Linked DNA regions of Sus scrofa. The protein of the gene in region 1 purifies or fractionates together with the protein of each later gene. This does not show direct contact. Links are inferred from orthologs where the notes say so. Each region holds a gene or a part of one and is shown on either strand. Other genes may lie near its edges.

Region 1 (4,014 bases):
TGGGTAGGGGAAGGCCAGGGGTGCTGTTCAACATAGTACAGTGCACAGAATGCCCCCCGCCCCCGGAACTGTCCCGCTTAAAGTGTCAGCAGCGTGCAGCTTCAGAGATCCAGGTCGGGAGTTCCCATCGTGGCGCAGTGGTTAACAAATCCCACTAGGAACCATGAGGTTGGGGGTTCAATCCCTGGCCTTGCTCTGTGGGTTAAGGATCCGGCGTTGCCGTGAGCTGTGGCGTAGGTCGCAGACTCGGCTTGGATCTCAGCTTGGATGTCTCATTGCTGTGGCTCTGGTGTAGGCTGGCAGCTGCAGCTCCGATTCAACCCCTAGCCTGGGAACCTCCATATGCTGGGGGAGTGGCCCAAGAAATGGCAAAAAGACAAAAAAAAAAAAAAATTTTATTGCAGTATGGTTGATTTACAGTGGCTGTTGTTGGTGATGACTGTTATTCATGAATTAATTATTGGTAAAGTTTGCCTCTTTCTTCCACCTCACTCCCCAGAGGCGCCAGTGGCTGCAGGAGGCCATGTCGGCCGCCTTCCGGGGCCAGCGAGAGGAGGTGGAGCAGATGAAGAACTGCCTCCGGGTGCTGTCCCAGCCCACACCCTCCTCAGCTGGTGAAGCTGAACTGGCTGCTGACCAGCAGGAGCGTGAGGGGGCCCTGGAGCTGCTGGCCGACCTGTGTGAGAACATGGACAACGCTGCAGGTACAGCCAGCCCACCTCGGCCTGCCTCTGGCTGCCAGGGTCCTGCCTCTTCTGCCTCCTGGCTTCCCTCTGCAGCCCAGCCCTTGTCCTTTGGCTCAGGGACCTCTGGCTCAGCCTCCTCCCCAGCCTCCCAGCCTCCAGCCTCACCCTTGCCGTCTGGCTCCGATTCAGGCCCCCGGTGGGACTCCCTGTCCCTCCCTGCTCGGTTCACTTGCCGTCAGGAGCATTGATGGCTGCAGGTTCAGTCCACCACCTCACCGATGCTCTCTGAAACTGGCCACGTCGCCCTCCTCTGCTGGGAGTCCATGGCCACTTCAGAGTAAGCCACAGGAAGTGTTCCTTGATGGGGGAGCCAGAGAGGCCCTCCCCGAGGGTGACACTTGGTTAGAGACCTAAAGCGAGGGCTCAAGTCATGGAATTAGCTCTGGAAAAGGCATTCCAGGAAGAGGGCACGGCCTGTGCCAAGGCCCTGCGGTGGGAACGCACCCGACATGTTCGGGAACAGCAGTGAGGCCAGCACAGCAGAGTGGAGGCCAGGAAGTGACACCAGGCACACCTGGCCTCATGGGCCAAGGTGGTGCTGTGGCTCTTACTCTCGGTGCCGAGAAGCTGACTGATGGACGAGTCGTCACTTCCACTTGGAGGGGCGTCGGTGTGGTTGTCGAGGATCTGGGTTTATCTGTCCTGGACATTGACGGATGAGGGGTCGTAGAAGGCATGACCTTTTGCAGCTGCCTTCCTTCCCTGAGGGTGATGTTTTCAAGGTTCTTCCACGTTGTGACTGGTATCAGAACTTTATTCCTTTCTGTGGTTAAGGCTGCGTGTCATGGATCCATTCATCAGCTGATGGGTATTTGGGGCAGCTACCCCTGGGTTATTGCACATGATGCGGCTGTGAACACTGGCGTGCAGGTGCCCAGTGGAGTTCCTGCTTTCACCGCTTTGGGAGATAACTAGGTGTCTTCGCTGATGACTTTCTGAGGAAGCGCCAAGCTCGCCAATAGGAAAACAGCCGGTGGGCTGTAGTTTGCAGATCACTGGTTTGGCGTGTGCTTCTCCCACAGGGCATGTCCTGGTGGTCACAGAGACGGGGTGTCCGGGCTGGCATTGAGGGGGCCGGAGCCTGGGAGCCCTGACCCTCCAAATGCTGACATCGTCGAGACACACTGTCCTTGGAGAGAGCCAGCCCTCGGAGGCAGGCTCCCCTTTGCCCTAAGAAAGCACCGCGGATTGGGGCTGAAACAGCAGAAGTCTACTTTCTCATAGTTCCGAGGCTGGAAGCCTGAGCATTGGTGTCTTCTGAGGCCCTTCCGGGCTCGTAGACGGCGCTCTTCTCACTGTATCCTCTTGTGGTTCCTCCTCCGTGGGTGTCTGTGTCCTGATCTCTTCTTATGAGGACACCAGTCATATTGGACCGGCGCCCCATCCTGTGACATCATTTCGCCTTAATCGCCTCCTTAATGGCCTGTCCCCAAATACAGTACTTCCTAGGACCCTGGGGGTTAGGACTTCAGTGGAAAGTTGGGGGTGGGCACAGCTCAGCCCGTCACACCTGTCTGCTCCCCTCTCTCCCACACAGACTTCTGCCAGCTATCTGGCATGCACCTGCTGGTAGGCCGCTACCTGGAGGCGGGCCCCGCGGGGCTGCGGTGGCGGGCGGCACAACTCATCGGCACATGCAGCCAGAACGTGGCGGCCATCCAGGAGCAGGTGCTGGGCCTCGGTGCCCTGCGCAAGCTGCTGCGCCTGCTGGATCGGGACCCCTGCGACTCGGTGCGCGTCAAGGCCCTCTTCGCCATCTCCTGTGAGTGTCCTGGGGCCGGGCTGGCAGGGTGGGGCCTGGGTCCACAGGGCAGGCGCCAGCCCTCCGATCTGCTTCAGGGCAGAGGGAGGGGGGCCTCATTTGTTGTTTATTCCCAGCACCTGTCGGGTCTCTGCTTGGTGCTGGGAACAGAGCTGTGCACTTGCCACCCGCTGCACTGGTCAGAGAGCCAGATCCTGGCGACACAGGACAAGGGCCCGCTCGAGTGCTTTTGGGCCCCCTCAGGGCTCTCAGCCAAAGTCCTGTTGCCATCTGGGACCTGATCACCCCCGTCATTGTGGAGGGGGCTCTCCAGGGGGCTGCTTGAGTGTCCTCACAACGTGTTAGCGGGCTTCTCCCAGAGCGTGCCAGCCAGGGTGCCAGGCAGGAGCTCCGAGAACTACAGTGCCTTTTATCTTTTTTTTTTTTTTGGTACCAACCCCTCTCTTGCCCCTTCCTCTCCCCTCTCCTTGCTGGTAACCTCTAGTTTGTTCTCTGCGTCTGTGAGTCTATTTCATTTTTGTTGTATTCAGTAGTTTGTCTTATTTTTTTAGATTTCAGAGCTAAGTCATTAACCTCAGTATCTGTCTTTTTCTGTCTGATTTATTTCATTTAGTGTAACAACTCCCAGGTCCATCCATGTTGTTGCAAATGACACAATTTCATTTTTTCTTCCTTGTGGCTGAGGCCTTTTATCTTTTTGAAAGTTGATGTTGGAGTTCCCCTTGGGGCTCAGGGGGCTAAGAACCTGACATGGTGTCCGTGAGGATGTGGGTTTGATCCCTGGCCTCGCTCAGTGGGTTAGGGATCTGGCGTGGTGATGGCTGTGGCAGCCTCTGGTGCCCAGGGCGGCCCCTGTGACACAGAATGATGTGGCGCCACCTGTCAGCTTTGCCAGGTGGCGAGGCCCTGTGTGAAGGGAAGGGTTGCTCCTGGACACATCATGACGGCGGAGCCAGCGATGGAGAGGCTTAGTCATGTCTACCCCTCCTCATAGGCTGGTACTTTTTTTTTCTTTTTTTTTTTTGTTAATTGGATGACATTTTATTTAACCCCTTATATTTAAATTATTGTCATTTCAGCCCCTCATTATGTGGAGTGCTAACGAGATACCTTGCATTTCTTTTTCCCCACGCTTTGTCCTTTTTTTTTTTGAGGGCCACACCTGCAGCATATGGAGGTGCCCAGGGTAGGGGTCAAATTGGAGCTGCAGCTGCCGGCCTACACCACAGCCACCAGCAATGGGGGATCTGAGCCGCGTCTCTGACCTACACCACAGCTCATGTTAACGCTGGATCCTTAACCCACCAAGCGAGGCCAGGGATTGAACTGGCGTCCTCATGGATACTGGTCGGGCTTGTAACTGCTGAGCCACAGTGGGAACTCCTCATGTTACGTCTTCTGACACCTGGTGTACATCCCGCGTGTAAAGTACATCTCCACTCAGGCTGAATAGTCAGTGGCTGGCCTAGAAGGCAGCTGTAGTGAGGGGACACAGCGGTGCTTCAT
Region 2 (4,014 bases), on another chromosome or scaffold:
TAAGTCCTAAGAGATTTTAGCTCTTCCATTTACATCTTTTGTATTTTATGGGGCGGCGGGGGGTGGGGGGGTGGGGGGGTCCAACTCCATCCTTTTGTGTGTGGCGATCAAGCTGACCCAGCACTACTTGCTGAAAAGACAGTTCTCTCTCCCAGTGATTTATTTGCCTTGGAACTCTCCCAAGCTTGGTCTGGCTGTGAGGCTATTAGGCCACCTGGAAAACTTGGCTTTAGGCAGGGGCCCTCTGCTGGCAAGGGTTAAAGAGTCTAGGGCCAGCTCAAAGTGGCTGTCTCCAGATTAAGCTGGGCAGTGTGCTGAGGATGAGCACAACCCACAAGAAAACCCACACCCACGAGACTGCAGGTTGAGCTAAGAAGGAGAAAACAACAGAACAAGAAAAATCATCCCTGAGAAAACTATAAGCACAAGACTCTTGGCAGAAGCAAGGCACCCTCTCTGAAGGAAAGCACCCTCAACTCAGGCCTTGAATTATTCTTGGAAATAGGATGTGCGTCTGAGCACCAGGATTCACACACGAGACTGTTCATCTTATTATTTCTTTTTGTTTGTTTTTGTTTTTTGTCTTTTTGCTATTTCTTTGGGCCGATCCTCGAGGCATATGGAGGTTCCCAGGCTAGGGGTTGAATCGGAGCTGTAGCCACCGGCCTACACCAGAGCCACAGCAACGCGGGATCCGAGCCGCGTCTGCAACCTACACCACAGTTCACGGCAACGCCGGATTGTTAACCCACTAAGCAAGGGCAGGGACCGAACCCGCAACCTCATGGTTCCTAGTCGGATTCGTTAACCACTGCGCCACGACGGGAACTCCCCATCTTATTATTTCTAATGGCCTCAAACTACAACAATCCCAGAGTTCAGGAATTACAGAACAAATAAACAAACTGTGATATGCTCACTCAATGACTACTGCTGAGCTGAGATAACAAACAGCTCCATGCATCGCTGTGGAAGAATCCTCAAAACACGGTGTTAAGTAAAAGGCAATCAGCCATAGAAGAATACGTGCAGCAGGACTCGCTCTATAAAGCTCACAACCAGGTAAAATGCAAACATGCTGTTTACAACACAGGAAAGCTACCAACGTAACAGCCCAGAACTGCAGTTAATCTGGCCGAGACTCCACAGCGAGGGCACCCGGGGCTCCCTAAAGCACCCTTCACCTCAAGGTGAGGTATACAGGACGCCTTTGTTACTCTTTTAACTGTACATATGCTTCTCATACATTTTCTAGGTGCTTTGATATACATGCTCTATTTCACAAATAGAAATTTTTAAAAACGGGAGATGGATACTTTAAAATTACCATAGAACCACTGGTACAGAACTACAAAACCTAACTATATTTTTTAAAAATCCAGGCAAATATATAATTTTTCAAATTAAGACCCAATCATAGTAGGAAAAACACATGGCACGGGTGAGAGGGAAAAAATACCTACACTCCAAGTTTCTCTCAAGCAGCTGAAAGAATAGATGGCACTTCAAAGCTATACAGTTATATGTAAGCAAAGCACCAGAACATTTTTTTTTTTTCTTTTCCTTTTTGTCCTTTTAGGGCCTCACCCACAGCATACGAAGTTCCCAGGCTAGGGGTTGAACTGGCGCTGAGGCTGCCGGTCTACACCACAGCTCACAGCAACGCTGGATCCTTACCCACTGATCAAGGCCCAGGACTGAACCCGCGTCCTCATGGCTATTAGTCAGAGTCGTTACCGCGGAGCCACAATGGGAGTTCCCACCAGAACATCTTTTAAGGGCCTTGGCACTGAACCTGAACTGAATGGCAATACCTGATTCCTCAGACAACTGTGGTACATGGAGGCGAGCCTGTGATGGATGGTGGCAGCGCGGTACTGACAGAGAGGCTGTCGAGCAGACACCGAGTCCACGTCGCAGTATTTCAGGGACTTCATCATAGCCTCGCTGACTTCTTTTTCAATCTGTTTCATTTTTTAAGGGGGAGGAAAACAATGACAAGCCCATCATCTCACGTAAGACTTTTCAAAACATTCAAATACTGCTTGTCCAGGAAAAGACTCTAACAGATGCTCAGTTATCTGCTGCAGAACTAAGTAATAAGTAAGGTTAAGACTTCTTTCATAATCCAGCAATTATTCTTACCTGCTCTTGAGCTTTTCTAGATAACGGAGCATAATCTTGCTGTAGCGTTGCCATGGTAAAATAAGTAGTGGACAATTCCCAATTCACCGAATCCCAAACAGCTGGGTGTATGTCCCGTGTGCCCAAGGACCTAAGAGCTTTCAAATAGTAGTCGACAGCCTGCGAGGGAGAGAAGAGGACCGTTACGGCTCAGTTTCAATACAGGCTCACATGGCATGAAAGTTAAACACGCCTCACAACCACTCAGACATGAATTTTTGAGAGATATTATAAAAGGGAATCTACGGAGTTCCTATCATGGCTCGGTGGTTAACCACTCTGACTAGCATCCATGAGGACACAGGTTCAATCGCTGGCCTTGCTCGGTGGGTTAAGTATCCAGCACTGCCGTGAGCTGTGGTGCAGGCTGCAGATGGGGCTCAGATCCTATGTTGCTGTGGCTGTGGTGGAGGCTGGCAGCGGCCGCTCCGATGTGACCCCTAGCCTGGGAACCTCCATGTTCTTCGGGTGCAGCGCTAAAAAGCACAAAATAAATAAAAGGGGATTCTCTGAGAAAATACAGGAAGTGAAGAGAGTTAGTAAAGTGGACTCCACCCCACCCCCCATCTTCACCTTGAGTCTGTCATAAGCTCAACTGAGCGTTTTAGGATTTGTGTGAAGCATGAGGATGCACTTTCTTCCTTTGAGTGTTTTCTTTCTCCTGAAGATTATAGTTTATATAACTAGCAACAAATAATTTCACAAGTCTATGGATAAAAAACCTGCAGGGTTTGACTGTATAAAGAAGCAACCCTTCCCACCTCTGCCACCACCCTACTGAAACACATGGTCATTATATTTAAGCAAACAACCCCCCCCCTTTTTTTGGTCTTTTTAGGGCTGCACCCGCAGAATATGGAGGTTCCCAGGCTAGGCATCTAATCAGAGCTGTAGCTGCCAGTCTATACCACAGCTCATGGCAACGCCAGATCCTTAACCCACTGAAGGAGGCCAGGAATCAAACCTGCAACCTCATGGTTCCTAGTCAGATTCATTTCTGCTGTGCCACAACGGGAACTCCAAAAGTCGCTTTTTTTTAAAGTTCACCATGCAATGAACATTGCTCATTAACGTTAAGCAGTGGGCAGCGGCTCAGCCTCACAATCTGAGGTCCTGAGTTATTTCAACAACGTCAAAGTCCTCAATGGCATGAGTGCTCTTGTGTTCTTGAACCCTCTCCAACAACTGCACGCTACCGTTTGCCAAAACAGATTTACAGTTTGCTAAAGGAAACTCAATTTTAAAATTTCCTAAAACTTTGTATTTTGAAATTTTGCTTTCCTATTAACCCTTTCCTTATTTTACATGTATGACATTTTCTTCAAGGTTATCTGTCCTTTTCTCTACTGACATAGTTTATTTTCAATGATTCTTGATTATTCTTGATAGATTAAGGGTTTATTAACCTCTGATCTGTCATGTGTGCTATCCATATTTTTGCTAGATGGTGAACTGTTTTTCAATTGTGCTTTCTGATGTGCATTTAAAAAATATTATTTTTGTGCATTTAAATTTATCCATCTTGGAGTTCCTGTCGTGGCTTAGCAGAAATGAATCTGACTAGCACCCATGAGGATGCAGGTTCAATCCATGGCCTCCCTCAGTGGGTTACAGATCTGGCACCGTGAGCTGTGGTGTAGGCTGCAGATGCAGCCCAGATCTGGCATTACCGCGGCTGTGGCGTAGGCCGGCGGCTACAGCTGCAATTCAACCCCTAGCCTGGGAACCTCCATGTGCCTTGGGAGCAGCCCTAAAAAGACAAAAAAAAAAAAAAATCCATCATTTACTATGTGATTTTTGCTTACTGTGTTATGTAGAAAAAGTCCTTTC

What was found. The genes of interacting proteins can lie anywhere in the genome.
Region 2: the proteins of HSPBP1 (region 1) and EDRF1 purify together in Homo sapiens (affinity purification with mass spectrometry; 3 studies listed by BioGRID and IntAct, counting the BioPlex papers as one, with this or other methods). This does not show direct contact. The link is inferred for Sus scrofa from reciprocal best matches to the Homo sapiens genes HSPBP1 and EDRF1.

What each region holds. Positions count from the first base shown.
Region 1 is NC_010448.4:59,457,733-59,461,746, reverse strand, and holds part of HSPBP1 (hsp70-binding protein 1), read left to right. Parts: intron 1-499; coding exon 500-704; intron 705-2,283; coding exon 2,284-2,508; intron 2,509-4,014. UniProt on the Homo sapiens protein: Inhibits HSPA1A chaperone activity by changing the conformation of the ATP-binding domain of HSPA1A and interfering with ATP binding. Interferes with ubiquitination mediated by STUB1 and inhibits chaperone-assisted degradation of immature CFTR.
Region 2 is NC_010456.5:135,069,464-135,073,477, reverse strand, and holds part of EDRF1 (erythroid differentiation-related factor 1), read right to left. Parts: intron 2,305-4,014; coding exon 2,146-2,304; intron 1,965-2,145; coding exon 1,815-1,964; intron 1-1,814. UniProt on the Homo sapiens protein: Transcription factor involved in erythroid differentiation. Involved in transcriptional activation of the globin gene.